Caenorhabditis elegans: one gene and its partners. The protein of the gene in region 1 interacts with the protein of each later gene in a pairwise test. Each region holds a gene or a part of one and is shown on either strand. Other genes may lie near its edges.

Region 1 (7,456 bases):
TAGGTTGTAGGCTATATCTCACCTTACGGATCTGAACGGCGGCCAGATACCCTGGAGTTTTGTGGACGTCCGGTTGCTTGCAAAACAATGGGTGACCCCCACTAAGAAATCCAACAAACCACAAACAATGGTCAAAAAGCAGAAACTATGGTTGATTGATAATACTTTTTAGAGGGATGAAACAATAATTTTTAATTCAAAAATATTTATAAAGTTAAATCAATATTCAGGCTTTAACAATGATCAACTGGGTGATGTGCTGTGAAAGTATTTCATTTTCTGGACATGGTTACGCATCTGTACTGTTCGGATTATGTTGGGTAATTGGATATTGTTCAGTTTCACCGCTTGCCATGTATTTCTCAACTTGGCGTTATGTACAACTGGCCACATCTGTTCCATGTGTTCTTTTTGGAATTCTCATGATGTTGTAAGTTCATATGCTCTAGATGATTAGCTGAAGTTTGGTTTTTTCTTCTACAATAACAAAATTTTGTTAAAATACGCCTACACAACCTGAGCACTTTATTTGAAAACTTGCAGTACTCTACCCGAAAGTTTCTCATTTCTGGTGGCAAAAAGAAAACGAGATGATTTGGTGAAATGGATAGAAATGGCATCAAGAGTTGGAAATGAAGAAATTGATTATGATGCTGATCAGATTGTGGATATGTCAAGTAGAGAAGAAGATAATGAATCACTTCTTCAGACATTAAAACTTGTTCTCCAATCAAAACTCATGGTCACTAACACGGCTGTTGAAACATTTTTATGGAAATTTTTTGACAAAATTTTTACCATTTTGAAATATTAATTTTCAGGATAATTGATTTAATGATCTACAGTGCTCTTTCACTCTCAGCAACAGGAGTTGGCTCTAATAACATGCATCTCTCGTATATTTTTTCTGGTCTCGTCGAAATTCCTTCTTATTTTTTGATTCCCGCCGCAATTGACTGGTTAGGAAGAAAACCATCCGTAATGGTTTCTCATTTGATTCTTGCCTTTTCGCTACTCTCCATGTACCTGTTTGATCATGAGGCTGATCCAGAAATATTCTTGATAATTTGGCTCATTGCCAAGTTTGCAGCTGCATCTGCATTTATGCTGTGTTTCGTTTACGGAGCTGAACTTTTCCCAACAAATTGCAGGTACTTTTTCAACAAAAATAAAATGTTATTAAAAATCAAAATACTGTTTCAAACTATCTTTGAAATGTTATCACAAAACTTCAGCAAATTAGATGAACTTTCAGAAGTATATGCCTTGGTACTTGTGCGACAATTTCAAATCTTGGAGCAGTTGTTGCTCCTCATGTCCCTGCAATGGTAATCAAGATATTTCTTCAAATTTTAGAATGACATCTTTATCGTTTTCAGGACATATTCTTCCCCGGACTCCACTACTTGTTTTATGCGCTTTGCTCATTTATTTGTACAATTCTAACGACAATATTACCTGAAACAAAAGAGAATCATAATGTTCCAAGAAGTCAACAACAATCGCTTGCATAATTTCACTGTTTTCAACAACATTTTTGTTTCTTTTCCGGGTATAAACATTTTTCGCTGTTTCAAAAATTATAAAATCTGAATTAAAATAACTTTGAAACTAATTGTAAAAACGAAGTTTACTCATGAGGAAATTGTTTCAAATCATTCACAGTAGGTTAAAACAGTAATTTCAGAGAATTGCAATAATGCTGTTCATTGAAATGTACCCAACATTTGGAAGCCGATTGATAAAATGATAAAACGATTGATAAAATGATGAATGATAAATAATAACATTGGCTATTTGGTCAAAACAAGCCGGGCAATTTTTTATGACACTTTTCGACGCAATTGAGAACTGCCTAACCATGTTTCACAATACAACTATTTCATTTAACTCATTCTTTTTTCAAGAACTACTTTTTGTATGTTTACTTTGAAGAATAAAATGTATTTATCTGCTCGAAAAAACAAATACCAAAAAATAAAATCTATACCCGTTTCAATTCTAAAACTTCTATTATTCTTCTTCAATCTAAATGCTGCAATGGTTCTTCTTCTCTTTGAATTTCCGGTCGAAGTCTTTCTTTTTTCCGACGCTTCATTAAAAGCTCTTCAGGATGCCAAAATCTGAAATCTTTTATTGATTCTATCATTCAAATAGATTTTATTTTGAAAACTTACTTCAAATATACGGTGACTCCTATTGAAATTATCAAGATAATCACACATAAGAAGAGCAAGAAAATGAGAACATTGACAAATTTATGAGGTTCATTGTCATAATTCTTGTATTTCTTGCGATATCGAGGAGTTGTTGTGGGAACGGTTGTCGTTGAGATTACTCTGAAAATTTTTTCAGTTTTTAGAAACTTTTTTTGGCTTCGCTGAATTTTCAAACCAATCAACTCACTTATTACTAATTTTTTCGGTAGATTTGACACCTTCTAGTTCATCCATCGTATCCAAAATACTCTTTTTCAATGTAGTTGTCATCATTGTTTTCTCAGATTTAGTTGTTGATTCAGTTGAAGTATAAACTCTTTCCATTATTCCTTTTTGTGCATTTTCCACAAATGTCATCCATTGTTTAGTTTCTTCAGTTGGATCCAGGCATACACTTTCATTTGTTCCTGGAAGAGCTTCCAACATCCAAACTGTTCCATGACCATTTAAATCACAATATAAATCATCAATATCATCTATCTGAAAAATTTATTTTAAAACCACTCGAAATCAGATTTTGAACAATAAATATTGATTAACATAAAATAATTGAAAAAATTTGATTTGTGGCATTTTTGAAACAGTAAAAACTTTTCTCAGTTTTTTTTCAGAAAGTAAATTAAAATGGTACATAAATCTTCAAATGAAAAGTTTGCTTTTAGTAATCCCATTCTCAGTAAGAAAACAATTAAGATAAAAACTAATGTATAATAATTTTAGTTTATTACTGGCAAAAACCAATTGCCTTCAATAATTCGAAATAATGACGATCAGCTCAAAACTTGAGCATGGCACGTTCACTTTTAACTTTTTCGAAAAAGTAATAAAAATGTCCCTCACCATGAATGTATTATTGACAAAGCTTCAATATTTTTAAATTTAACATTAGGAGAAACAAAATTCAACATTACACATTTGAGTGCATAACAATTTGGCGATCAGGAATAAATTTCAAAATTTACTACTATATTTGTAAAACTTATGAAACAGAAATTAATTTTTAAACTTTTTTGCTCTGAAACTATGTGACTATGTTCTTACTTTTGCTCGATTAATTCTTCTCATCAACCATCTCTGAAAATCCGATGGTGACTCACAATCACAGGCAAATCTGCTGAAATTCCCACCCAATCGAATCTGAATTTCTCTTTTATTATTATCAACCAAACTGAAATGGAAAGTTTCGTTTTGTAACCCAATGATTCCACCAAAAAATGACTGTTTTGTCTTATCATGATGGAACATAGATAAACTGGTTTCTGGTCAAATGTCCTTTCCTTTTGAAGTGACTAACCTTTTTTAAACCATCCAAATGATTTAAGGATGTTGATGAAAGTTGATCCAATGGGTTATCAGATAAGTAGAGATGAGTTAAAGATGGTAATTTTGTAATGGTTTCTGGAATTGAGGTGATGGCAGAAGATGTTATTTCGAGATGGGTCAAATTGGCAAGATCAGTGAGCTTTTCCTGAAATAATTTTTTTGTGGACATTATTTGCGAAATATGGAAATTGATTAGAATTTAACTAAATTAGATGATGCTCTAAATTAGGTGAAATTTTCGGACAACACAATGACAGCAGGATTAAAATTTCAAATATCATACTGCATAAGTAGGCATGTCGAAACAGTAAAAAATTGTTTACATAAATACATCCAATTGCATAAAATAATTGAAAAATACATAGTTCTATATTTGAAAAACCTTAGGAACACAAAACCAGTTAGTTAAGTTTCCCTCAATTTTCAAAATTAACCTCCGGATTCAAAAAATAACTCACCATTTCCACTGAAGTCATTTTGCTATTTGTGATCTTCAAAGCTCGCAAGTTGCTCAGTTCTTTCAATTTCTCGGTCTAAAAGTCTTGATGTCTAATGAATTCTTCCAAAGAAAAAAAAACCTCAAAAATCTTCCAATCAGTCTGATTCATATGTAATTGTGTCAATGGGGATGGAAATTTTCCGAGCTTATCCCATCGAAGTTTGTCGCAAACCATAATGTTTTGAGATGTCTGAAATAATGTTCCGGGTTAACCAAAAAAGTTTCAAATTAGTTCCGTTTCTCTTCTATTGTGCCTTATCATCCAAGAAAAAACCAATTGGAAAGTGTAAAGTTAGCGAAACCGCGCGGGCGTACCTGACAACAAAGATAGATCCATAGTGATAGGATGAGTGATAATGGGAAATGTGGAGACATAGATTTGGTAACACAAAATGAAAAAAAAAATGAAAAAAGGAAACAGTGATCAAGAGAAAATTGTCAGTATAAAAGGAATGGGTTTAACATGGAAAGGCATCATCCAATCTTGATCATCTCAAAAATGGAGGACAACAAAATCAAGGTATTCACAAATTGTTTGGTTTAGTTTAAAGTTCTAAGAGGCTTTAGAATTTAATTTTAAAAACCATTCATGACTCTTATTTTTCGAAAATTATACAATTTTTCAGGCCTACCGTCTCATCGGGTATGCCGCAGTCTCCCTCTCAGCTGTCGGAATTCTTTCCGTTTGCATTACTCTTCCACTCGTTTATTCTTATGTGAGCAACCTCCGCTCTCAAATGCACTCTGAGCTCCGTCACTGCCGTGACACCGTTAACACGGTATATGCTACCGCTGTCGCTATGCCAGCTCTTCCCGGGAGAGGGAACCGTACCGCGCGTCAAGCTGGATACGATGTTGCCGTTCAAGACGCCCCAGCCCAGGAGCACAATAGCTGCGACGGATGCTGCTTGCCAGGAGCCGCTGGATCAGTCGGAGCTGCCGGACGCCCAGGAACTCCAGGACGCCCAGGTGCACCAGGAGCCCCAGGACACCCAGGAAAGCCACCACAGTCACCATGTGAACCATTAACCCCACCACCATGCCCAGCTTGCCCACCAGGGCCACCAGGAGCTCCAGGAGCACCAGGAAAGCCAGGATCCGAGGGACCACCAGGACCACCAGGGCACGATGGACCAAATGGAGGACCAGGACAACCAGGACAACCAGGACCACACGGACCAAACGGACACCCAGGAAAGCCAGGATCCCAAGGACCACCAGGACCACCAGGACACTCCGACGAGCCAAAGCCAGGACAACCAGGACAGCCAGGACGTGCTGGACCACGTGGACCACGTGGAGTTGCTGGAATCAAGGGCAAGGATGGAGCTCCAGGATCCCCAGGACAACCAGGACCACGTGGAGGACCAGGAGAGCCAGGACAAGATGGAGCTCCAGGACAACCAGGACTTCCAGGATCCGATGGAACTCCAGGAGAGAAGGGAATCTGTCCAAAATACTGTGCTATCGATGGAGGAGTCTTCTTCGAGGACGGATCCAGACGCTAGATTTTATTTCGTCTCTCCCATTTTTCATAAAGAGTTTAGCATTCCAATATTGTTTTTTTAGTTCGAAAATACACAAAATGAGTTTTTCAAAAAGCTAGAATTGATGAAATATCTAATTTCCCAGTTTCCAAAAATCATACCCTCACAATAGAGACATCCGCAGATCTCAAGCATTTGCACGTCGGCGGGCATTCGAAACGACATTCACATTCTTTTTTCTGACAACATTCACAATCTGCTTCACACATCTGAAAAAAATTACTGTTTCAAAGTTACTATGTATTTGAAATTTTTTTTAGCCTACCTTGAAACCTTTTTTAATTATCAGTTCAATTTTCTCGATTAATTTTTTGAAGAAAATGTTTGATAGCATAATTAAAGTCTGTTGGGTATATAATTACTGTTGTTTGATATCAGGCTTTTTCTCAGCACGGTTTTATTAAACTATACATCTTAGTCTCTTTTAAATCGAATTATATTGGTAGTACGCCACCAATTGTTTTTTCAATTAAAATGAAACATTTATAAAATAACTTACATTAGAATATTTGCAGAGCAGTTGATTCCTTGAATGAGCTAACGTGAGCAGCATTTTCTTTTCTGGTTTCAATATATTGAGACATTCAATTGTCTGAAGGTCTCCAATTGATATGTTCTAAAAAATATCAAACGTAATACCAAAAAATTAGAAATTGTGTAAAAACTTCAAAAACAAACTTTAGCAGAAGAATCCATTAACCATTTATGATTACAGTGACATAGTAGTGGATTCTCGGATAAAAACAATTTGACTTGAAATTTGGAACCAGCAAAACTTGATGACTTCACTTCCTTTAGGCTGTTGTTTCTGCAAGAATAATGTTCGGAAAATACTTTTTCAATACAAAACCAACTTTAAATCCAGCAAAATCAAATTTGTCAAGTGCTCAAATGCATGATCATGTAAATACGTCAACTTGTTATTCGACAAATCCACGTGTTTCAACTCTGCAGGCAATACATTCACAGCTCCAGTCGTCAAACCACCAACAAATTCCATTCGATTTCCAGCCAAATCAAGGCGTTTCAGATTTCTAGCACTTGCTGGAACATAGTGAATTGTGGAGACGAGGTTATGCCGAATTGATAAGTCGGTCAGGTTTTCAGGAAATCTGAAAATTTATTTTTTAAAACAAATAAATGTTTTTAAAACCTTCTGAAATCGATATTCGTTATCTTATTGTTGTTCATTGTGATAACTTTTAACTTTGTCAGGGATATCAACGTATTTGTCAGAAATCCAATATCATTGTCACTTACATCCAAGTGAATCAAGTTTCTGAAAATTTGAATATTCATTTTTAACTTCATTTTTAAGAATAATTACTGTAATGATCTTAATGAATATGGTTCAATTCTCAATCGATTCCCAGAAAGATCCAATGTCATCAAGTTGGGAACATGGGCGAATATCTCTCGAGGAAAATCGGTAATTTTTGCATTTTTAACGATAAGGGAATAGAGTTGACCAAGACCCTGAACATCAATACAATTACAAATGTTTTCTCTGAAAATTCTAACCGCAAAAAGTCCTTCTGGAACAGTATCAATTAAGCATCTATCTAATTCGAGACGATCTAGATTTCGAAACCCTTGAAATAATGAATGAGGTGGAGTTGATACTTTTGGAGAATGATAAGGGCATTTTATAGTAAGAGTTCGGACGAGATCAGGACGTGCAAGTTGGAGAGTAGTCACATTCAGCTGAAAACGTTATGTAGTTAAACGGAGGAGTAAACGACTTGAATTGTCTTAATAAATTTAAAATGAACCCAAAAGACTGAATTTCATAACAAAACTACTCAAACATTGCTTTTTAAGTCCAGTGTAAAAATTCTTATCGAAACTAAATTAAATTACTTCCCTTG
Region 2 (11,901 bases), on another chromosome or scaffold:
AGCATCGAAAGAACAACAACTAGAATGATAGAGACTGCTGAAGCCATTGATTTGTACAGATTATCAAGATATCGCATCACAAGAGAAATGTAGAGGCCTCCAACGCCAAGAAGAATCACAACTGCCCATACTTTGTCCGTGTAACCGAAGAAAAATCCCTTATCGGAGATCCGCGAAAAATCCGTGAGACAAGCGATTGAAGCACTGATCTGGAAAAAATTGGAAATTTTCGAAATTCGACTTTCTGAGATTAATTGAGCTTAGATTTTATTAATAAGTCTAAATTGGTTTTTAGTAATATTCAATTATTTCGAATCTCTATTTTTCAAACGATTTGAAAAAAAAACCCTAAATAGTTTCTGATTTTTTTTTAACTTTCAGAAGTTTGATTTATTCAATTGGATGGTAAGTAAATAAACTAGGAAATTTTGAAATTTCAGTAACTTACCACTCCACAACTGTACATTTGCATATTACGAATCCAAAATGGTGTACTTCCACCATCTTTCAACATCTTCTCAAAATAGACTCCAGCAAATCCAGCAGTTACACACGTTGCCAGTACAGCTGATAATCCGACAATATAATTTTCAGCAGTTTCTCGTTTTGTATTGGCTTCTGATGCAGAAACATTGTTCATTTGAACAAATGCTACTCCAAACATTAGAAGTGTAATTGCCATCCATCGACGAGTTGAGAACTTTCGACCGAGAAAGAGCATCATGAAAAAAGCTGTAGAGACGACTTTCAATTGAGTTGTGACCTGCAATTTTTTTCTTGAAAAAGTAGGGTTTTTTTGGATTTTTGAAAATAATAATTTTTGTTTTGTTTTGGAGAAAAAAAAAAGAATTTTTTTTTTGGCTTTTAAAGGGTTTTTTGTGAAAAATTAAAACAAAACATTTCTGCATCGTTTTTTTCTGAAAAAAAGAGTTGGGTTTTTTTTTTGGGAAAAATTGATTTTTTAATGGTTTTTAATGGATTTTTTTGAAAAAGAAAAAACATATTATTTTGAAAAACTCGATTTTTTTCCTGGAAAAACTTTTAATTTTTTGGTTATTTTTTGAAAATTTTTTTTGTTTGGTTTTAATGAAAAATTGATTCTTTTTGTTATTTTCATAGGAAAAAAGGTTTTTTGATTATATATTTTTTAATATTTCTATGACAATTTACCTGATAAAGTCCCGCATCCAAATTCGACAATCCCACAAAATCCAAATTATTCTGAAGAGCATACGCAAACGATGGGACACTCATTTTGGCAAGTTCTCGTGGAGCATTTATGTAATATTTACTGACTTGCTGTAAATTATAATTTTAAGATTTCAAAGAATACGGTAGATCTACCTCGGAAAATTGTCTGCTATCAAAGTTACATTCTTTGTAGAACATTGCAAATGTGATCACTAATTTCAAAATTTCGGCACATAAGACTACTGATGTTGAAGAATACATCTGAAATAAAAATGCATACTTTCGAAAAATTGAAATATTTGTATCAATTCTGTGTGTTTTTTTGGTGCTTTGGGATCAAAAAAAAAAAAATTTTTCTTAAAACCGTTTTCACACTTTGGATTTTTTTCAGAAAAGTTAAACATGATTTTTTATATTTCGCTATGAATTATCAATTGTATTTTATTGTCAAACTTTTTGAATTTTGAATTTTGAAAAAAAAAAATTTCTGAAAATTCAATAATCAAAGTCTTCCAAAACTATATTTCAAAATATATTACCATATCTGGATTTACAGTACTCCTTGTGTATTTGATTGTTAATGTGTAAGCTGTCCAAATGAATGTCATACTGGCAATAACATAGCATTTGAAGACAAAACTTGGACGAGATGATGACGGGGATTCTGAAATACTTGGCATTTTGATACAGAGTTTTGAGAAGGAATTATATAAATTTTTAAAATAACATACGAAAACTTAAAAAATGTCGAGAGTAAATTTTCCGATAATTTGTTTTTCGATTTTTTTTTTCAATTTTTACGGAAAGTTTTTTTTTTGAAGAAATACCAAAACTTTTTGAAAACTGTATAATATTAGAAACTTCCTACCATCCGCTTTCTCCACATCCTTATCGTTTGGCAGTAGCTTCTCCTTGTCCTCATCTTGATGTGATATATGTACATTTTGGAATTTCATTCCTGAAAGTTGTATATTTCATAAAAAATAATCAGTAAATATTGAAAAATGCTTTCAGAAAAAAAAAGATAAGAAAATGTGCTATTGGGGTATGATGTCTGATAAAAAGGGTGTATGTTTGTCTAGATCATTCTTCTCTTTTTTATTGTAAAAACGCCACGTTCATGCATAAAATTGAGAGGAAGTATCATTATTCACAAACGCGATGATAAAACCCATGAAATCATTTTTTGATACTTTTTAAAAGACTGAAAAATAGATAGATATTCTCTAGAAATGAAATATTTGAAAATGCATTGAGAACAAAAAAATATAACATTTTCCGATGCTTCCAAGCAACGCTTATGTTCCTTAGCAACATGAATTAACAAAGAAGGAAATTTCAAGGACAAGACACTACTTGACCTTCTGTCAAAGAATCTACTTATGAAAATTCGTTAAAATTGAAATTATATAGAAAATGTAAATATTGAATGAGTGCATAGAGCAGACTAGAAATTTCTATATCTTTTGAGATTCTCGGAATCTTTTCTTTTCAGAAAATTATGCTTTCTGATAAAATTCGGTAATTTGTAAACCATGAAAATCAAAATTTTAGGGCGTGAAATATTTTCTGCTGCAAGAATTTTTCTCTTAATTTAAGCACAAAAGCAACACAATTTCAAAAAAGTGTGTTTTCTGGTGTTCCTTGATCTAGTGAGACCGGTTTTTGCAAAGCCTACCTTCACAACAACCATAGACTATTTTATCCGATGACACCTGGTCCCTTCTCAAACAAAAGTGATGAATATTCCCCAATACCGTTTTCCTTTCAAACATGAATAAATGAATTCCATTAATTCCCTGCTTGGCTCCAGACTGTCGCCCTTCTGCGTCTCTAAGTCTTCCTATTTCAAACACTGTCTCATTTTATATATTCTGAGTCTCTCTACTATACTATGATGTCTAGTTGGCTACTAATGACGATAACGGGGGCGCAGGGACACAAGTTGACTGTCGCCGGGTGGAAACACATCTGTGAAGATGATTGCACAATTTGGAGAGACGGAGAGTTGAAAACAATGAGTAGACAGTTAGACGGTTGATGATGGGCTGGTGAAGCTGAGAACAATTTATGAGATACCAGGCACTTTAGAGAGGCTACAGAGGTAGAAAGAAAAAAAGGTAAAGGAGTGCGCATTTACAGGCTATTTTCAATGTTTCTTATTTATAGAATCTTCTTGTGATCTATTAGTTTTTACAATATTTCAAGAAGATTAGAATCATGGTAAGTTTTTATTTGTATTTAAGAATAAACATTCAAAAAAAATTCGAAATTTTGTAATTCAAATTTTTTAAAGAAAAAAAAAAATAGAATTCAAATTGTTGAACTCAATGAGTCTTTAAAATTTTGAAAAAAATACGAAAATCATTTTTAAAAATTTCAAAAAATGTAGCTACATTTTTTATGTTTTCCTATAAAGAATTTGTTTAAAAATTTCCCAAAATATTGTTGTGAAATAAGAAACTGAAATATCTTCTCGATATTGTCTAACCACTACCAGTTTGTAAAAATTATTATTACTTCCTCAAAACCAGGGCCTTGAGTCCTGGAACGTGTGTAATTTTTCAGCTACAGTACCCCGTGAACACCATAGACTTTGAAATTCTCAGCTTTCAAAGTTTGAACCTTCCGTTTTACATATTTTAATATTTGACGTAGTTTAAACATTTTTCCAAAATATGTGATTTCTACAATAAAATTCTTGAAAAAATCGAGACAAGAGAGACAAATAGTAATAGAGAGTACGGTAGCTGAAAAATTTCATTCGTATCAGAACCCAATTCCCAAGAATTCTTATTTTTCGAAAATAGATAAAATTGTATAACCATTTTTTATTTCACAACAAAAAACCACGAACCTTTCAGATAAACTTCGACGGAATAAAAAAGATCACGGAGAGACTGAAATGGAAACAAGGTAAGTCTCATTTTTGTCCAAAAGACCAATAGGGTGGGGAAATATTACAATCAACGGCGGAAATCTAGAATCGAAACTGAAATCGGATTTCTGACGGAAATAAGTATTTTACAGGAGACGAGGATGAGAATTGGGCAAAAAAGGCGATCGACAACTTGATGAAGAAGCTGATAAAGCATAACAAGCAGGCGTTGGAAAATTTGGAATTCGCGTTGAGGGTTCATGTGTTTTGTGTCTTTTGAATCTTTCAATTTGATCTTAAGATTTCTTTTTTATGAATAGAAATGAAATAATCTAGCAATAGACTACACATACTTTAAACTCGTTAAAAATCAATAAAAACTACATATATCCGATATTTCAATCGTAGAATAACCTCAAATCAATAACTATATCATTTCAGTGCCAAGGACAACAAAAAACCGAATGCGTGACAATTCCGCGGTCACTAGATGGACGACTTCAAATTTCGCATCGAAAGGTGATTTTAGTATAGAATAAGAGAATAATGGGGAGAAGAAGTAAACAAATTCAAAATGAAGGGGTGCCCTATTTGTTTATGAACATCAACTAGAAACAGAGACAGACTTACTTATTCGATTAATCGACCGACTAGATTTTGAAAAATGATATTAAATTTTTAAATTGTAAAATTGTGTCAACTAGTCGTTTGAACAATTTCAAAAATTGATTTGATCTTTTTTGATTTTATGGGCAAAAGTCCACGTGTCAGTCCCATTTGCATTTTTAATTTATAAATTTGCATAATTTCTACAGTACATCCTAACGATATTAGAAAAAACATAGATTTTTCTGCTAATTTTTTGATATTTTCACAAAAATTACACCAGCCAAAACTTAACCTAGATTATGAAAAATCATATTAAATTTATGAAATTTAAAAGTTTAAAAAATTTATAAACGTTAGCTGATCTTTTGTTCGATTTTCAATTTTTTTTGAAATGAAGCTTCTTCGTGAAATGCTTGTTTGAACAGCTGGAGATTATCATTTTTCACAGAAAATTCAAATAATCCACTCTGAGAAAAAATGTTAGGAACAATTCCAAATCCTATGTACTAAAAATTCAGGCACTTCCTCATGTGATATATTGCCGTGTCTATCGTTGGCCAGATCTTCAATCACATCATGAATTGAAAGCAATTGAAGATTGCCGATTCTGCTACGAATCAGGGCAAAAGGATATTTGCATTAATCCATATCATTACAAAAGAGTTCATGCAACTGGAGTACTTCCACCAGTTCTTGTACCTCGTTATTCCGAGAAACCACCACAAGAAGTGCCCCCAACTCTGGCGAAATTTCAGTTGATGGAGATGAGCGGATCAAGAATGCCGCAGAATGTCAATATGGCAAACGTTAATTTTACGTAAGTGTTTAAAAAATATATGGTATTACTGATTGAAGAAAAATTGAAATATCTGGTATTTATGAGATTATCGGGAACAAAAAAACAAAAAAGCGAAGAATAAAATAAGAAAACGAACACAGTAGGTAAGGAACGGAACTGGAAAACGGATGGGTTGATTTTGAGAAACCCGAAAACTTAAAAAAAAAACGGGGAAATGAGGGGAAAAACAGGTAACAAAGCAGCCTATCAACTATTCAAAAATTCTTTAAATTAATACATATCGAGCATTTCAGCTGCACGTTTCTTAGCATTCATCAATGGAATCATTCTCTTCAACATGAGAAGTTCTCGTGGTGGGGCAAATAGAGCTGCATTTCGAATTGATTCCATTGCTCGCTCGTAATTTTCTCTGAAAGGACTTGGATTTTTTAGTGGAACTCTGAAACTTTTTTACTTACTTCTTGATCATCGGCTCTGGCCCGTTAGTTCCCAAAAGATGAAGAACGTGAGCCGAGAAATTGAATGGATCAACTGCAATTGCTGCGTTGGCACTTTCAGTTGTCAATCTGAGTCGTTCAGCTTCTGGTTTGTGCACGTGGAGATCACTGGAAAATTAATTGTATTTAACGTAGAACTTAGAAGCCGATGGGAATTTCAATTTAAAATTCGCAGGCTGGTCCCTAATGACGTGATTGAACAAAAAATTCGCACTTTTTGATTTTTCAACTTTCCGATAGCTTAAATTTTTGCCATTTTCCTTCCTTTTAAAAGAAAATTATACTTCTTCTTTTTTCAACAACAGAAACAAAATTTATTTCAAAAATCGAATTTTATGAGTATATTCTTCGATTCTTTTTTTTTTTTTTTTGAAAAAAATCGAAAAGTCAAAAAAAATTTTTAATTTTCGATTTTTTGTTTTATTTTTTTTTTCATAAAATCTCGGCAACTGGTACCAGTCGGCGAATTTCAGAAAATTAAAATCTAAACTTACGCAGTCTGCAAATGCCTACTTGGCACCAAATATCTCGTAGTAATCCTTGCAGCCTCTTCGAGCAACTTCTTCGAGCTCTCCTCATTATTAGTCATCATATATACTTTGGACATAAGAACCAGATTGAAATGAGTAGATCTACTCTCTGCGAGTTCTTCCATTTCTCGGATTCGTCGATGAACATCAGCGTAGTCTTCGCTGGTACACAACTTCAGGAATGTAACAATCATGGAAAGATGTGGAGTGAGAGTTCCGTTCTTTTCAGCTTCTGTGAGAAGTCTATTGGCATTGTTCTGGAAAATTAAATAATTATAAATAAGAAAATTATGAATTTAAATTTACTGTATCCGCCATCATTTGTTGCTCATGATTCGTCACTGCTGTATCGAGAACACATCCATTATACTGAAACCATATTTTTAGAGAATAAAAATGATTTAATCGAATTACCACAAAAATAGATGCAAACGAATAAAGTTTGAAAAGTCTTTCCTTATCGTCTTTTGGAACTGATTCCAGGAATCTGAAAATTAGAAAAAATTAGACAAGACCTGGAAATATTTTGGAAAATCAAGAAAAAAAACTAACTTATCCAAATCTGCCATAGTATACATTAGCTCAATCTTGAGAATATCGAAAGCATCTCTCATTAGTTTTTTGCGTTCCTCATCCTCTTCTGATCCAATCAGTTCGTTAATTTTTGCTCCAACTTTATCGATATATCTCGTTGCCTCGTTAGGATCAGTACTGTAGCTTAGCATTTTTCCACGCAAGATCATTGCCGGAGGATAGCTGTTTTCCTCAGTAAGCAGATCAATCAGTTCTTCGTATTTTCCTTTTTTGAACTTTTCCAGTGCAAGTTGGTATTGTCTGAAATTTATAATTATTTTTACTGTATATCTAGAATTAGAGCTTACTTCTGGTCTTCACTGAGCACTTCTGGTTCGAATCTGGTGAGATCTGTTTTGAAAAGATCAAGAATATCCCAAGTATCACACCACTGCTGAATTCTGAACAAAGCTACTGGCTGTGGCTTAACATCTTCGATTTTGAGTGGTTTTCCAATGTGACAGTCGGACATCTAGAATAAAAAGTTGAGTTTCTTTAAGAAATTGTTAGGCTCTTACGGGTTCTATAGCAAGAAGCTTTCCAAAGAATTCGAAATTCGTCTTATTCAGGCTAGAATCCAAAGTGAACGCGGCAAGAAGATCTAAAAACAGGAATTGATACTTTTCTCGTAACATCTTCAGAAACTCACACGCCAGAGCATCCTGTTTCTTTCCGACGTCATTAAGTGCTTTTGCTGCTCTCAAGTATGCTTTGGTGTATTTTTTGTCTACTTTCAATGCAGCCATACAGTCGTTGAGGATATCAAAAGGGCTGTGTCCAACCTTTTCACGACAGGCTGCACGATTTTGGTAGAGCATTGCGACAATTTGATCAGAAGAGTTTGGTCCGGCCTTTTCGACTCCTTTTGTGAATGCTTCTAGTGCGGAATCGTATTGTTTCTCTTTAAACTTCAAATTTCCCAATGCTTTTATTTCCTCCAAGTCCCTTTCCAGCTGAAATTAGTTTTGAAATTGATATCATTGTACACTAGAAACTCACGTCTGAACCTCCAAAACTCTTATATACCAAGTATCCTACACCTGCAACTGTCGCTGCAGCTGCCACACCGATCAGCACTTTTTTCGTTTGGTCGCTGATTCCAGTCGTTTCGACCATTATATCTACAAAATAATAAATAGATAAATGATATAAGTTAAGATTAAGTTAGAAAAATTGAGAATTCAAAGAGAATGAAGAAAAATTGGTAAAATGATGTAAAATTTCAGTGATAAGAAAAGTAGGCAATATTTACGATAAACAGCATGCGGTGGAATTCCGGAGTATCGTCGCAAGTTGTAAATAAAATTGGATCCAAAATAACTTTGAGAGGGAAAAGGTTACGAAAAGAAAAAAAGGTTGAAATATTATCAATATATTTTCTAATTAGGGATTTAATAAATAATTTTCTAGAGCCAACCAATTTCATCAATACAATCCAAATGGAATTGAGGAAATGGATACTTCTCAGAAATTCGACATTCCACCAGGAGTTCCAACATGTCTCGTGCCATTCGATAAAGTTTGGGAAGAACAATTCTGGGCAACTGTTAGCTATTATGAATTGAATACAAGAGTCGGAGAACAGGTTAAAGTGTCTTCAACAACTATAACTATCGATGGATTCACTGATCCATGCATCAATGGAAGCAAAATTAGCCTGGGACTGTTTTCGAATGTAAATCGAAATGCAACTATTGAAAATACAAGAAGACATATTGGAAACGGTAAGAGCACCCACGGCCTCGCCACGAACGAATTACTTTCAAATCAAGGCCGAGCAAAACACGCGTGCGCCTTCAAGAAGTACAGTAACCTGATTTTCGGGAGATTGGGTACCGTACTTCGGCGCATAATTTTTGCAAGACTATGACTAAAAAATTGAAAATTTTCAAACTTTTTGTAATTCCAGGTGTCAAGCTAACCTACGTACGTAGCAATGGCTCACTCTTTGCTCAATGTGAAAGTGATTCAGCTATATTCGTACAATCTAGTAATTGTAATTATATCAATGGATTTCACTCAACAACTGTTGTTAAAATTGCAAATAAGTGTTCACTGAAGATTTTCGATATGGAGATTTTTAGACAGGTAAGCTAATTCACGTAATTGCAATGTTTGAGTCAAGAAAAGGTCTCGTCACGCACAAAATAACTTAAAATTGCAGTCTCACAGCAATATGTGTACCTTTAAGCAGTACGGTAGCCTATTCTTATACTTTTTGAAAAAAACTGGGTTACTGTACTTTTTAAAGGTACACACATTAAAACTGGCGAAGCCATGTTCTTGGGCAAAAAATAGTAACTGAAACTATTAGGTCTCCAAATAAGTTCCGGGTCAAAAATCATAACTTTGTTCACTGCGTATCGATTTTTATGAAACTGTGGGAATTTATGTTATCAACCATGATCTTTCATTTGACAATAGTCACAAAATTTTTTTGCCGTCCGAAGTGCCCTAACTCGGAGCCAAATTTTTCAGGCATTTTTCAGATCTCGCTTCTTTTACGTTTTGATTTGAGGTTCGTGTGCGGATTTAGCTTTGTTTAGTACACAATGTAAGAAAACAAGAAAAGTTTGGAAAAAATCCGTTAAAAAAAAAATTTTTTTTGTCGGTCGTCAAAAAATGTTCAAAAAAATTTTTGTCCAAAATTCTTGATTTTTCATACAAAAATGATGTAACCATGTGCAAAATAAATAGTTTGCACATGGTTACATCATATTTGTATAAAAAATCAAGAATTTTCGACAAAAACTTTTTTGAGCATTTTTTGACGACCGACAAAAAAATTTTTTTTTGGACGGATTTTTTTCTAAACTTTTCTTGTTTTCTTACATTGTGTACTAAACAAAGCTAAATCCGCACACAAACCTCAAATCAAAGCGTAAAAGAAGCGAGATCTGAAAAATGCCTGAAAACATTGGCTCCGAGTTAGGGCACTTCGGACGGCCAAAAAATTTTGTGACTATTGTCAAATGAAAGATCATGGTTGATAACATAAATTCCCACAGTTTCATAAAAATCGATACGCAGTGAACAAAGTTATGATTTTTGACCCGGAACTTATTTGGAGACCTAATAAGAAAAACTAAATTTTTCAGCTTCTCGAGGACTGCAGTCGCCGTGGATTCGACGCCTCATTTGATCTACAAAAAATGACATTTATTCGTATGTCATTTGTCAAAGGTTGGGGAGCTGAATATCAACGACAAGATGTCACTTCAACACCTTGTTGGATTGAAATTCATCTTCATGCTCCATTGGCTGTAAGTTCTGAAATTCTTGTTTTCTTTAGAAATAATACAATTTTCAGTGGCTCGACCGAGTTTTGTCTACAATGGGTCCAACTCCACGGCCAATTTCTTCAATTTCTTGAATCATTTTTATTATTTTTCAAATAACACTACCTTGTTGAATTGGAATCAGAAATAGAATAATAAAACAAAAAAAAAACAAACAAAGACGTCCAATTTAAGTACATGCTTTGAAGAGAAAAAAGGCATCTGAGGGGAATGAAGGGGGGCAAAAGTGAAACCGGGAGAAGATGAATTTTGAAAAAGAAACGAAAAATACATATCATTATACAGATAGAAACATAAAATTATGTTCTTATTCAGCTAACAAAGCCTGCATGATGATGTGGCAAGTTGCAAAGAATTCCATCGTCTGAGAACGAATTGGAGCTTCGGGTTCCGAAGATTGAGTTGAAACTTCATCAAGACTTTCCATTGAGTTCTGAAATTTTAATGCTTATAAAAAAGAACCAAGAACGAATATTTTTCTATAACAAACCTCAATATCAGCCATGTAGATACTGCTGTTCAACGATGATTTCAGCGAGGCGTCCGCGTCATCAACGCGAACTTTTGGAATGTTGACAGCTGAATTAATATTAAAATTGAGTAATGAAAATGAACCACTTAAAAAAATGATTGAAATTGTTTCGTTTTAATGAAATGAGCTTGAAGGTAGCGTCAGTGATGTCAAAATTTTTAATTTTTTGAACGAACTGTTTTTTTTTCAAATTTTTTACTGATCGAAACTGAGAAAATATCTAGATAAAACACTCTAAACTAAAATTTTCCTGGTCCTGCAGAAAAAAAAATTCGAATTTTAAATAATTTTTAAATCATTTCTTAATTTTTCTATTTTTTTTTAATTTAAAAAATTCGAAAATATCTTTCTCCAACTACAAATCAATGGTTTCGTGTTTTCGATTTTTTTTTTGAAAATTCGTTTTTTTTTTACTCTTTGGGGGTTTTTGTGAAAAATTTGCTACTCCTTCTTTGAAAAAACAAATTTTTTTTTTTGAAAATTCATTTTAAAATAATTTTCTTTCATCAAAATTAAACTTACACGGAGAAATTGGAGACATTGGAGATAGTGGAGACATTGGAACTTTCGAGCTATTTCCATTTAAATCACTTTTCGATTTGGCGAGAGTTACTGATACGGACGCAGCACGGGAACGACAACGACTCGGTGGAACAGCTGAAAGTTTTTTTTTAAAACAAAATATTAATAGCTATTTTCACTCGAAGAATACGGTACCAGGTCACGACACGACAAATTTATGTCAAGTGCGAAAAGGCGTAAAGAGTACTATAATTCATTAATTGTGTTTTAATTGTTTTACTTTAGTATTTTGATAAAGAAATCTTTTGTTCATAGAAAATCTATGAGAAATTGATGAAAAATTTGCAGTAACGAGTTTGAAATTACAGTACTCTTCAAAGGCGCACTTTTCGTAATTTACGAAAAATTGTCGTGGTGAGACCAGGCACCGTATTTTTAGCCCAAAAATCGTGAACTTTCGTGTTTATGTAA
Region 3 (11,950 bases), on another chromosome or scaffold:
CAGTTTAAAATGTTTACATTTCAGGAACTTCTGGAAAAGACAGTGGGAAACAGAAATAAAAATGGTTAAGCGTTCCACTTTGCTTCCAGCTGTTGTTTTTACAGTCGAGAACTTGCAGGTTTTTTGTTACTTACAAGTTTTTTTATTAATCAAACAATTTTTCATGTGATTTATTCAAGTGAGTTATGTTTTAACAGTTGTATTACACTGGCAACGTTCTATAAAGCTTTATAAATTTTTTAAACCACCAATGAAACTTTGTTTTCACTTTAAAAAATGTTTATTTATGCTATTTATAGGATTATTGCAAAGTTTCCGCAAAAGTATAAATAAAACTGCTTTAAAAAGATTTTGAGGCAATTGTTAAGACGTTTTAGGCTGAACAAAAATTCTGAAATATTTAAAAAAAAAAATTTATTAAATTGTTTTGCCTATTTTTAGACTTTATTAAAAGCATTACAAAATTGCAAACTTCCTCATTTGTAATAGTTGCAAACGTTACAAAAGCAGTGAAAACGTGCTCGGAGAATATCAAATCGACTTCTTTATATTCCATTGTTATTTTTTGATGAAAACCCGCTTTAAGTTCTTATAAATTCAATTTGAAAGTCTGAAAGTGAGTTAAATTACTTTCCTAGTGAGTATAACTGGACTGCATGTTGAAGTGGACGACCTCTTCCAAGGCAAACCTACAACGTGTACGTCCTTGCAAGATTTGACTGACAATCCAAGTTTATGGAAAACTTCTTTTCTTTTCAGTTCTGCAATATTTCGAAAATTCGAATAAATTATCCAGCTTTGAAATAATAATTGTTTTTTTTAGTCGAAACTTAGATTGCACCTGACAAGTTGTTAGCGGAAGGAAGTAACTTCAGTGCCAGATTTTAGAACGAGTTTTCACCAACCAAGTTTTTTGTCGCTCTAGATAGTGTTCTGAATATTTTTTTACAAAAAATTTGAAAAGGAAAACTCAACTCGTACCCCTGACATTTTTCTCAGACATTTTTTTTGGTGCACGCGTGAAATGGCTCAAAACTTTATTGTTAAAATAGGGAGCTTTTTTCTCCAAAAATAGCTTTTTAAAAGTTATAATTTCTTGAAAAGTCTGAAAATTTTCTCCTACAATCATGTCTGTTTTTATTTTTGTGTGCCAATTTTTTAAATAAAAAATTGACCATTTTTTGTAAAATTTTTTTTCTGAAAAAAAAAACTTTATTTCTCAAAACATTCAAATAAAAAGAAATAAACGTGGTTGTATGTCAAAATTCTGAATAAAAGTTTTTGGCATATAAAGGGCTGAAGCACAACTGAAAAGCAGAGAAAAGTTTAAATTTGACAAAAAAAATTGAGAAAACGGTGGGCAAGATTGATATTGGAAGTGGTAGACATAAAATTAAGATGAATAATATTGGAAAGTAGTGTGACGGTAAGAAGGGAAACATTGAAAAACCATTAAAACTATGTGATCTGTGGAACATTGAAAGAGACAAAGAAAGCGATGGGAAATTGTTGATTGAAAGAAAGAAGGAAATTAAAGCCGGCTTAATTTCCCATCAAGGTTAAACAAGACAAGAAGCGACTAGAAGTTTTGCAGAACGAAAGATGCGTCGAGATATACAGCTAGCGATTAGGTGTAGCTTACAGACAAAAATCACAGCTGGAATGAAAAATGAAGTAGTGATTTTGCTCTTCGTTGAAGAGAAATTGTGGGGCACTGAAGATCAGGAATTCAAGGGGTACACCAGTATGACGGTTAAAGAAGGAACTATTGATGTGAAAAACTTAATGTTCTTTCGAAATTAAAGATAATAAGATTTTGAAAAAAGTTGGAAATTTTAATTTTATACGAAAACCTTCTGCTCAAGCTTTTCCTGCATTCCATTCAACAATCGCTTGCATTTTGCACGTCGATTTTTGAACCAGATCTGCAATTCGAATTCGATAACTAGTAATCAGTATTAATATAGAATATTACCTTCACATTGTGCTGACTAATATGCGGATAATTCTCTCGATAAGCGCAGTTGTTCAAGCATTGTGTGTACTGATCGATTTGCATCCATGTCGGGTGAGGATTCTCTTCGAACCATTTTTCGAGGACGGGTAGCTCGGTGAGTGGGTCGAACATCAGGCGTGAGCGAGCCGCTGAAAACACTAAAACGGAGATTATTTGCTTTATCGTTGAATTTTTTCAAACGTTCCGCGTCAGTGATTTTATCGAAAAATAGAAGTAAAATTCCACCTTAAAGTTTTCTTGTCGAAAAGATAGAGAATTTTTATGCAGTCATTTTTCATATGCATAGCAAACGCAATCTAAGAGCGTTTTAGAGATAGCAACCAATATAGGTTTTCAGACTGAGTATCATGAACATGGCCACCTTCTCGATAAGTTTGAGCCAGTACAAAATCCCTAGAATATTTCTCAAAATCAAGTTTGCAGTTGATTTTCTGTTTTATTTCTGTAAACACAATACCTAGCCTCATTTTTTTTTCCTCAGATCTCAGTGATCGTAATGGTTGTCTGTGCGAAATTCGACGCCCCACATTTCTCCCTTTGTTATGTGTCTTCGCGCACTTTGTGTATGTCTATGTGTGTTTGTGTGTGTGTGCTCGCTTCTAATTTATGAGTTCTTGGTTCAACCCATCTCCCTCTCTTTTCCGTTAGCCTGTCTGTTTTAAAGCTCTTTGTTGTACCTGATGAGTTGGCGTTTTGCATGGAGTTGGTGGATGATGAGTGGGTGCTGAATGCTCCGAGGTCGAGCCCGCTGAGAAGCTTTGGGGAGGTCGAGGACAATGATTCGCGCATTGAGTTTGCCATATCCGGGGAGGATGCAATTGAATCCTGTAGGAAATGTTGCTTGTTTTGGGATGAATAATTTTTAAAGGTGGACCATAATTGTGTCGAAAAATATTTTTAATTGGCGCTCAGCCGACGCTGACAGTTTGGAATAAATTCAGATTTTCGGCCGTAGTGTTAGGTCTTTATAACCTTATCGGTAATATTTAGCAATTTGGGAGATGTTATCTTTAATGTGAATCAGAATCGAAATAGCCGAAAATCCGTTTTTAGCGTGATTTTTCAAAGCTTTTCAGCACGAGCAACGCTAATCAACCTAACTATGGCACAAACAGTCAAACGTAACTTACAATTTCCGGTTCTGGTTTAATATTGATGGAAAACAAAGTATCTTGAATAGTTTCATCTGAATTGCTATGAATCTCATCATCGGCTGGAGATGGCGAGTCGGAGCCGCCGACAATCTTGGTTTCATCCAGTTTGTCGTAAAAATCAAATTTTTGACGTTGTTCTCCAAACAGGGACTGGAGCAAGTTGAGTTGGAATCCCGGGAGCAGCTGCGCCGCTGTCTGAGCTGACGAGACCTGCACTAGGTCTACTGGAGCTAAGGTACGGGAACTCGAGCGTTTTTGTGTGAACCAATTGCAAATCTGGAAATTCATTTGATTAATGGAGTAATATGTAGGCGCATTAAATTCACCTGTTGATAGCTGATCTTGGAATTGTTCTTTCTGAACGGACTCTGATTGAGCTGGCTTAAGTAATTGTTCATTTTTTGTTTAGATGGATTTGCATCGGATTTGAACCATTTATCAAGACGTGGAATTTCGTAAAGAGTGTTGAATCTTTGTACTTGTGTTGGGCTGAAATTAAATACATACATTATTATGTGTACTGAAAGTAATATGAAAGCAGGCGTTTATCTTTCTTGAGAGTGGAATGAAAAGAAAATCATGTAGCGTATTTCTTCTATTTGTATTGCACCCGACTACCTAACTTTGAAACGTTATATCTTAATTCATTTTAAAGAGTATAAATACACTTTAAAGATATACATATATTTTTAACTACGAATCTATAGAAAAATAACTGAAAAAATATTTTGTTAGTTAACAACTTCGAATAGCACAAACGATAACTGAGATATAAACAGTTAAAGTTGAACAATGTGGTACAATACAAATAGAGGAAATACGGTGTAATTACTCGTATACAAGTTTTTTGTAAGGATAGTTTTTAATCATTTTTTACTGACACTTTTTCTCCAATCACGACTCCATTCTGATAGTTATACTGGGTCCCCTTCTTCTTGTTTTTGCGCCCCCCCCCCCCCCCCGGGTAACAGTTTGGATATATCACTGTATGCACACAACGCATTCAATCTCCCTTTTTCTATTCTTTATTACTCTTTACAGAATGCGTCACCGCCGTCCTTTCCCATTTTGCCCTTTATTCTGCTGTTCCCATTCCCTCAGAGCAATATGTACATGTTTTGTATCCTCTCTTGTGTCTGTATGTCACAATAAGATTACTCACAACACAACTCAATTATTTGTACAGTTGGAAATTCGAAAATTTGGATGTGCTTCGATGACTGGAAAACTTGATTTCAGCTTTTTCTTTTTCCTTTTTTCTTCTCGTTGGAAGAAGGAGTTTCAATAAAGGAATATGTGGAAAACAACTGTCTCCATCACTTATAATTTGACTTCTTCCCTTTGTTGTCTCGGGAATGTAGATCAGCAGGCAGTGGCAGTTTCAGAGATGTTTTCACGGGTCAACAAGGGGCCAAAACCAGTCCTGATCTCTTAGCCTCCTTCTCTTGAGAAATTGAGAAAGACACAATGGCATGATGGAGGGCACTTAGAGAACGACCGAATTTGATCGTTTTGTCTTTTGTCTCGTTTTTTTTTTGAAATTAGCTATCTTCATCTCAGTCTAATACTGCTCTCTTATCCGGGCATCAACCGTACTGTCAACCGGCTTAGTGGAATTTATAGTTGAGTTACGAAATAAAACTTGAGTTTTGGTAATTGTTAAATTCTGACAAGCCACATATTTGGTGAATCGTCTCCTAAAAATTTTAGATTTTCAAAAATTTTTGAACTCAACCATTTTAAGTTGGCAAATAATAGAAGGCGTACGGTGTTTTATTATTTTAGCACTAAGAACAAGGAAAATTTTTGGTACTTGTGGATTATTTCACCTCATTTTGAAAAAATAAATTTTAACATTTTAAAATAAAACCGTGTGTAGTTTTTTATTTTTAGGCTTAGAAAAAAAAAAAAAAAAAAAAAAAAAAAAAAAAACGTTTTCTGCTACGCAAATGGGTAATAAAGTAAAAAAAATCAATTTTATATAACGATTTTACAGTTTCAAACAATTTTTTATAGATTAAACTTGTCTTCAAAGCAATTCTTAGATACTTCGGTATAAACTAGTGTTTCTAACTTCATTCACGTATATCTTCATCACTTTGCCTTCCCCTTCCCATTGAACCCATCCCCTACTCTTTTCCAATCCCAAACAATCATCGTTTTCGCACATTGTGTGTGGGGGCTGTCACTAATAAGATGAATGGTGATGATGGGCACCAAAGAAAGAGCAAATGATACAATCTGCCGGCTTGTTAATCCCCGACGCCTATCCATTCTGATTGTTACGACACTTGAAAACAAAAGGCGGGTTTTTGATGAAGACAACCTCAGGAAATTGAAATTCTGACGGGGGGGGGGGGGGAGCTCCAATGAATCCTTGCGGTGGAAATTAAACGAAACTAACTATTTAAGTTAAGTCCTCTCTTTTCAGATGTGAATAAGAATGCACAGACGTGGAAAAGTATATTGTTTATATGATATCCGATAGGAATCGGTTTTACCTGATATCTAGAGACAGCAAAATTCCATCTCCTAAATTTCCCCAAAAATTTATAAACAAAATGGGTGCTCTCTCATAACTTTTCCTTCAACCACAATGTATACACAATCCTGCCTGCAGCTCAAAATTCCTAACCAATCCATAAAGTCTATTTCTACAAACAAGCCGAGAGGGGGCTTAACTCGAGCACCGAATAGCGGCTTAACTTGGCGCTACCCCCCGTGTCACTGCTCTCTGTCTTTTCTCTCAAACTCTGCCCCCCCCCCCCCTCTATTCACATCCAACACGCACAGCGGGATTACGGTGGCTGGTTGGCTGACTGGCTCGCAACTCATTGCATGGGCGGCGCTATCTTACCTTCTACGATCCTCGTTCGTTTCCAGCGTATCAAGCCATTCGTTGACTGCACCAATTTGTTCGGAATTCAAGAGTGTTTCATCTCCGGCAATGATTGTGTTGATGACATCCTGCAATTATCAGAATTGAAATTGAATTATTGAGAAAATAGCAGCTACCCACCTTAACCTGCTGATTATCCACATTTGTTAAAACATTGGGATTTTTGTTTACTGCAGCTTTCAGGAGTTTATTCTTCACCTCACTTATACATTGCACAGAATTTGAATCCGTAGATCTGAAAGAAAATCATGATGATGGTCATAAAATTGTGTGTGTGTATAGGCATATGTGTGCCCAGGGATAGGGCTATAAAAATCGAATTCGGTCCGTGAATGGTTTGTGCTTTCATTGGTCTCATAAAAATTGCGTCGCAGGACAAAGCGCTAAAGCTTTTGCGGTATTTGTGAGTGCCATGTTTGATAGCAAACTAAATGCCAAATATCAATAGAATATGAACGATATAAAGAAATGAAGGAAGCGACAATAATCCGCAAACAGATAGGATAAGTCATACGGGGATCTAGGTAAATAATTTTGTTGGTCCCCGGACCCTCCCGCTCCTTTGACTTTTGATGACTAGAAATGCGCCCCAAAATGTATCTTTTTTCAGCCACCGCCAATTTCAATGAGTTTTCCCCCTTTTTTCCTTCCATCACTTTTTCTCTCCTGTACACATGTCTGAATGTGTTTATATATATGTGTGTGTGTGCGAGGCGCGCATTGTACATACCTATGTTTGCCATTTTCTTTGAGTAGTTCTAAAGAGGATGTATAGGGGTTGTGAGGCGCGATTTTGCTCACCTTTACAGAATGAGCCCCCCGGAGCACACAAACCTCCCGATCGACAGTCGTCTGGTTGGAGCGGGATTGGATGGGATAGATGAGGTTATAGTGCGGAGTGAAACAAGAATACTTCAGGAAACACTTACGGTTTTGACAATATTTTTAGCACTACATGTGATGATATATCTTTGAAGAGGTTTTCCACAGTGTCATCTAAATTTTCAGTAATTTGATCGAATGGCAAGGGTTTCCAGTTGTTTACTTGTATGAGGCCTGAAATTTCTGAATTATCGATTTTCGGACAACAAATGCAAAATATTTTTTTAAAAAACCCTATGCAATTCCCTTCGTTTTCTTTCCGATTTCCCTTTCACATGATTGCATAATCTTTGGGAAAGTAGATACCAAGGAGGCAAAGCCGCCGAGAAAAGAACAGGTTCGACAGTCTGTTTCACTTTCTACTAAGGTGGAAGAAAACGTGAAAGTGAGAAAATGGGAGGAGGGCGCTGAAATCGCAGAAATACCGTTGATCTGGCAAGAGGCGCAGAACAAAACACATGAGTGGGTAGGGTCGTCTTAGCCAAAAAAAAGTGGGTGATCTCGGGGTAGGAGGAAGATGTATATCTTCTTACAGCATAGCGAAGTTGCGCAACCACGTTATGCTTCAATGAGATTGAATTGAAACTGAAAGTAGTTGTCAAGAAAAGGAGATCCCACTCAATACTCAATTACTTACTCGCCTAGAGTAGGGTAAATCTGTCAATCACAAGATAGATCTGTTATCCGTTTTTGGCGAATGAAAAAAAGGAACAAAAATGAAAGAAAAGAAGATAAGGAATGTGTACTACTAATACCAAAATAGTTTAGCTAGTCACGAGGTCTATGGCAATTTTCAAAATGTTTTCTCAACTAACCTCGAGCACTTGTCGACATGCTCGAATGTCCAAGAGCTGCTAGTACAGTTTCGACGAGTTGATTTAATGTAGTGGTCCCTGCGACAATTGCATAAGTGTCTGTGATCATGTGTCCTTCGTTTGAGCATGTCAAGCAATGTTGAGAGCGAACTGTTTCCACGATTACCCTCATTGGGAACATATCTAGCTGAATGAAACTTTATATTTGAAATTTTTAAAATAAAAATGAGAAATCGAGATAAACTAATAGCAGAAGAATCGAAAGAAGAGCCAGAAGATAGTTGGATAGATTTAGCTCTGCGCTCCGATTGGTGTGCGGACTTCCCGCCCACTTTTCATAGATATGGAGGAGGCGGGGCTTTCTATGATGCGGGGAAGATAGATAGAAAAAGAGCGAGTAAGAGAGAGAGAGAGAGCAAGAGCAAAAGAGATATGGTAGTTGTGGCTAGTTGGAGCAAATAAGGTGGAAAAGAAAGCGCGCACCTATTCAACCGTAATTGCGATGGAATAGAGCGGAGAGCAACAAAAATGGAAGAAAGGGAGATAGTGGGATTTGTTAAGGCGATTAATGAAAAAAGAACGGGAGACACCAAGTTTGGATAACAGATTTGCAGTCTGTCCAAGAGGGGGTTAGAAATCTTAAGACACAAATAAAAACAACGAATCAGGCGACATGTACTCATTCTTCTTACTTCTTACTCGCTACTGAAGACAAGTTGAAGATGAGAATGGATGGAAACGAAAACGAAAACAAGATTTGATATGGAAAATCTGAAAGAAGGCGACCACGTCGTCGCCAAGAAGAGATTGAAGACGACGAATGGAGCGAAAGTAGTAAGGAGGGGTTGAGGGGGGGGGAGGTCGGGATCGAGATGGCATAATGTAGGAACCGGATGGAAGAGTCTAAAAGAGGCAGAGAATGCGGAAGATGAGGAGAAATAGGTAGGTGAGGTAGAAAACAGTGGAAAAAAGAAAGATGGGGCTGGTTGCCAACCCTCCCCCATCTGTAGAAACGATCATGTACTACTAGTTCGAGAAAAGCCTCGGGTCGTTGTGGTATGGCATCGTCTTAGTCTTCGTCGTTGAGGGAGGAAAAAAGAAGAATCGAACAAAGACAATCCACTTGTTCAAGATTTTCTCTCTCTCTTCACTCTTCTACCCTATAACCCCGCCTTTCTCTTTTCCTCACCGTCAAATCGAAAATAACGACGCTACACATCGCATAAGGGGCGCATCAGAATTAGAATTGTCCCGATGTGTCAGCAGAGATAAAGGTTAAGTTACTTATAGAAATTTTAAGGATGCGCGTTTCGGGAGAGGAGGGGGTCTGCCAGTTATAGATAAGACAGTGGTTGGAATGCAAGTCACTATTTACTTAGGAGCTCCGAGTGGGTTTGGGATTATTGTCGATAAGATAATGTGTACACTTTTGATACTTCGCCACACCAAAACTCAAATCCGTTTCTAGAAATTTATCTAACAAGGTTTATTGTTAAAATTACTATGAGTCAAAAATCAACAATTGGTATAAAACGTGGTTTTGGAAATATCTAATTTTTCAGAATTTTTGCAAAACTCTGTGAGACTCATTGATTAATCATTGTATTCTACACTTGTATTATCTTGCTCCATCTCCACATAATCAGTTCTAACAAACGAATGTTTGTGCCCCTAAGCCTAGAGGATTTAGTTTAGGTGTCATCGTAGCGGCTAATTGAAACAATTGCAATCTGGAGCAATACTGAAGCAAGGAGAGGGGGTTCGAATAAGCCGGAAAGAGTAATCCCGGTTGCTTGAAGACACCAACCCCGCGGATGGGATTATACAAGAAGCATGAAGTAGAAGTATAGGGTAAATGAGACCCTTCTTACAAATTTGAAAGTCGAGAAGTTCTAGACTTCAAGGGGCAATGCAAAAAATCTCAGTTTTACATATATTACGTATCGTACGGTAACGCAAAAGAGAAGATTAAAGAGGAGGGGGGGGGGGGGGAAGTCAATTGAAATTCAGCGGCCTTATCATACGATATACATTATATGTTTACCAACTCAATGGACCGGACCGAATGGAGAAAGAGATGGTAGGGAATGGAATAATGTGATGGGTTATGGTGGGTGCTTGCCCCTTGTTATATGATATTCAGTATTTTTGAAAGAGGAATTATAAATATTCTGATTTCAGTATGATTCTTCAAATTTGTTTTATTATATGATTCTTACATACAAAAACTGTAGGACATTCAAAAATTGAGTAAGAAAATCCTAAAGGTGGAGTGGTTGTCCCAAAATGACGGAATATCATAATAAAACTTTCAAAAATTTTTTTTGAATTTTTTCTATTTACAATCAAAAAGTGGCAATTACTCTGTTTTTGCCACTCATAATTTTGGAAGTCGACCAAACAAAAACATTTTTTCTACGTTTTTTTACTGTTATTTTGTTTTAATTGTTTGTGTTAAAACATCGTAGGGGTGGATCCATGCGACATTGCTTTGGACTTTTTTCAAAAGCTCAAATTATTCAAAAATGTTGGCAATTTGCCAAAACTTTGACCGGAAATTATTAAAAATATAAAATTTTTTGGAGTGTTTTATTATGATATTCGGTTGTTTTAGATTATTATAAGTGTATTCAGACAAAATCCCCACGTAAATTTGATACAAATTTATATGTAGCTTTCAAATTTACAATCTACTCTCAGAACACACGTGTGGCTGCGGCAAAACTGCTGACGTATGTAAAAAAAAAGATGACAAACAGTGATGTTGATTTAGAAATTGAATGTTTTTGGGTTTAAACTTCTTTAAATCCAGACTGTATGGAAAATAGATTTCAAAATTCTATCGTTGGTTTCGAAATGACCCAGTTCTAGTCATCATTCAAGAGCCAGCAAGGTTAGAGATAAGGAAGAAAAGTGTGGGCCAATGTGATCTTCAGCTCACCGAGCACAGCACACATGTCCACACGAGATAACACGTCGAATAAGGCGCGTTGTGTGAAACAGAAATAAAACCAGCCGGGCGGAGGAAAGCGCACTGTACAATGTCAGTCGACCATCGGTTATCAACATGAGCCTGATAATCCGTACCACCACATCTACATATACAAGAGTTGGGAAGAGAGAGAGAGAGAGGGGGAAGGGTAGGAGAAAAGGCATACTGAAAAGGGTATGAGGCAGAGCGGATGGTGAATAATATACACTGTTATGGACAGATATGAAAGCAGGAATGGGGGAGAACAAAAAAACCATTAAATCGCTGGAAAAAACGGAAAAACAAAACAATGGATTTTAGGAGAAAAGTAGCTGAAAAATGTTAATTGTAAAATTTTAATTTTAATATAGGCCCAATTTTGACTGGAAAAGCTGTCAACTAAAAAAATTGTTTCATTTGAAAGTATTAAATTTCAAAATCAACTAAGCCAGCTGTTACTCTGTTACTTTAAAAATCTCTGAAGCTTGTAAGTCAATGACCAGTGGCCCAGAAATTATTGGAACCGGCCTGTGTTCCATCTTACCTAGCATACTCTGCGTCTCCACCATTTTCTGGAGCATCTTTTGGTGATAAGAAAGCCGTTTCGAAAGAAAATGTCCCAGCTTGGATGACTCTTTGACTGTACCGAAAAAGTTGAAAAGTTTATACGAAGGAAGAAGATGAGAGAATCAAATATTGGTTCTGGATGGAGGGGGCGGTGGTGATGGAGGCCTCTTTTGTCTAATGCTTTGTCATCTGGGGGGACACAAAAGATTTTCTGTGGCCAGCACCTTGTGACAAATAATATCAGTTATCACATTTAAACAGTTCTTGCAGAATTATGTACATATTTTGGAATTGCACAATACTTTTGAAATATGAGGAAGTGGAGCTAGAAACTGTACCAAATGTATTACTATTTAAAAATTATTACAAAATACATCACATAGACATATTTTCTGATAATTCATTTTCCAAATTAGCGAAATCAAATCTTTGGAGTAGCGCCAATGGGAATTTAGTCTAAATATATTTATAATGACCAAAAAATTAAATATCATATTAAAAAATTCAAAAAATTTTAGATTTTTCATAATCTCCGACCAAAGTTTTGGCAACTTGCCAACATTTTGAAAAATATTAGCTTTTGAAGAAATTTAAAGAAATGCCGCACGTTCCGACCCCTACAATGTTTTAATACAAATAATTAAA

Evidence for each region.
Region 2: the proteins of col-122 (region 1) and sma-2 interact in a two-hybrid assay, tested with the Caenorhabditis elegans proteins (one large-scale study listed by BioGRID).
Region 3: the proteins of col-122 (region 1) and dve-1 interact in a two-hybrid assay, tested with the Caenorhabditis elegans proteins (one large-scale study listed by BioGRID).

The regions. Positions count from the first base shown.
Region 1 is NC_003282.8:9,558,848-9,566,303, forward strand, and holds col-122 (Nematode cuticle collagen N-terminal domain-containing protein), read left to right. Parts: upstream 1-4,531; 5' UTR 4,532-4,540; coding exon 4,541-4,561; intron 4,562-4,667; coding exon 4,668-5,549; 3' UTR 5,550-5,594; downstream 5,595-7,456. Other genes in the region: T05A1.5 (Major facilitator superfamily (MFS) profile domain-containing protein), read left to right, coding at 231-430, 544-814; lron-14 (eLRR (extracellular Leucine-Rich Repeat) ONly), read right to left, coding at 2,024-2,123, 2,178-2,339, 2,407-2,699, 3,261-3,356, 3,514-3,687, 4,001-4,075, 4,121-4,231, 5,690-5,797 and 6 more.
Region 2 is NC_003281.10:8,746,553-8,758,453, forward strand, and holds sma-2 (Dwarfin sma-2), read left to right. Parts: upstream 1-3,127; 5' UTR 3,128-3,311; intron 3,312-3,360; 5' UTR 3,361-3,411; coding exon 3,412-3,414; intron 3,415-4,055; coding exon 4,056-4,107; intron 4,108-4,221; coding exon 4,222-4,325; intron 4,326-4,510; coding exon 4,511-4,588; intron 4,589-5,196; coding exon 5,197-5,495; intron 5,496-5,542; exon of another isoform or gene 5,543-5,747; coding exon of another isoform or gene 5,748-5,886; intron 5,887-5,935; coding exon of another isoform or gene 5,936-6,082; intron 6,083-6,468; coding exon of another isoform or gene 6,469-6,761; intron 6,762-6,810; coding exon of another isoform or gene 6,811-6,873; intron 6,874-6,918; coding exon of another isoform or gene 6,919-6,991; intron 6,992-7,056; coding exon of another isoform or gene 7,057-7,338; intron 7,339-7,385; coding exon of another isoform or gene 7,386-7,549; intron 7,550-7,595; coding exon of another isoform or gene 7,596-7,678; intron 7,679-7,726; coding exon of another isoform or gene 7,727-8,030; intron 8,031-8,076; coding exon of another isoform or gene 8,077-8,193; exon of another isoform or gene 8,194-8,198; intron 8,199-8,339; coding exon of another isoform or gene 8,340-8,413; intron 8,414-8,487; coding exon 8,488-8,801; intron 8,802-8,851; and 9 more. Other genes in the region: ugtp-1 (UDP-galactose translocator 1), read right to left, coding at 1-209, 449-763, 1,171-1,299, 1,345-1,452, 1,731-1,855, 2,060-2,147; Mitochondrial import receptor subunit tomm-70, read right to left, coding at 5,748-5,886, 5,936-6,082, 6,469-6,761, 6,811-6,873, 6,919-6,991, 7,057-7,338, 7,386-7,549, 7,596-7,678 and 2 more; aak-1 (5'-AMP-activated protein kinase catalytic subunit alpha-1), read right to left, coding at 10,684-10,809, 10,867-10,955, 11,431-11,565. UniProt on the Caenorhabditis elegans protein: Involved in TGF-beta pathway. Plays a role in male tail tip morphogenesis.
Region 3 is NC_003284.9:425,846-437,795, forward strand, and holds dve-1 (Homeobox protein dve-1), read right to left. Parts: upstream 7,955-11,950; 5' UTR 7,949-7,954; coding exon 7,768-7,948; intron 7,656-7,767; exon of another isoform or gene 7,127-7,655; coding exon 7,000-7,126; exon of another isoform or gene 6,306-6,999; coding exon 6,191-6,305; intron 6,139-6,190; coding exon 6,029-6,138; intron 3,661-6,028; coding exon 3,498-3,660; intron 3,448-3,497; coding exon 3,148-3,447; intron 2,843-3,147; coding exon 2,695-2,842; intron 2,155-2,694; coding exon 1,976-2,154; intron 1,926-1,975; coding exon 1,842-1,925; 3' UTR 1,205-1,841; downstream 1-1,204.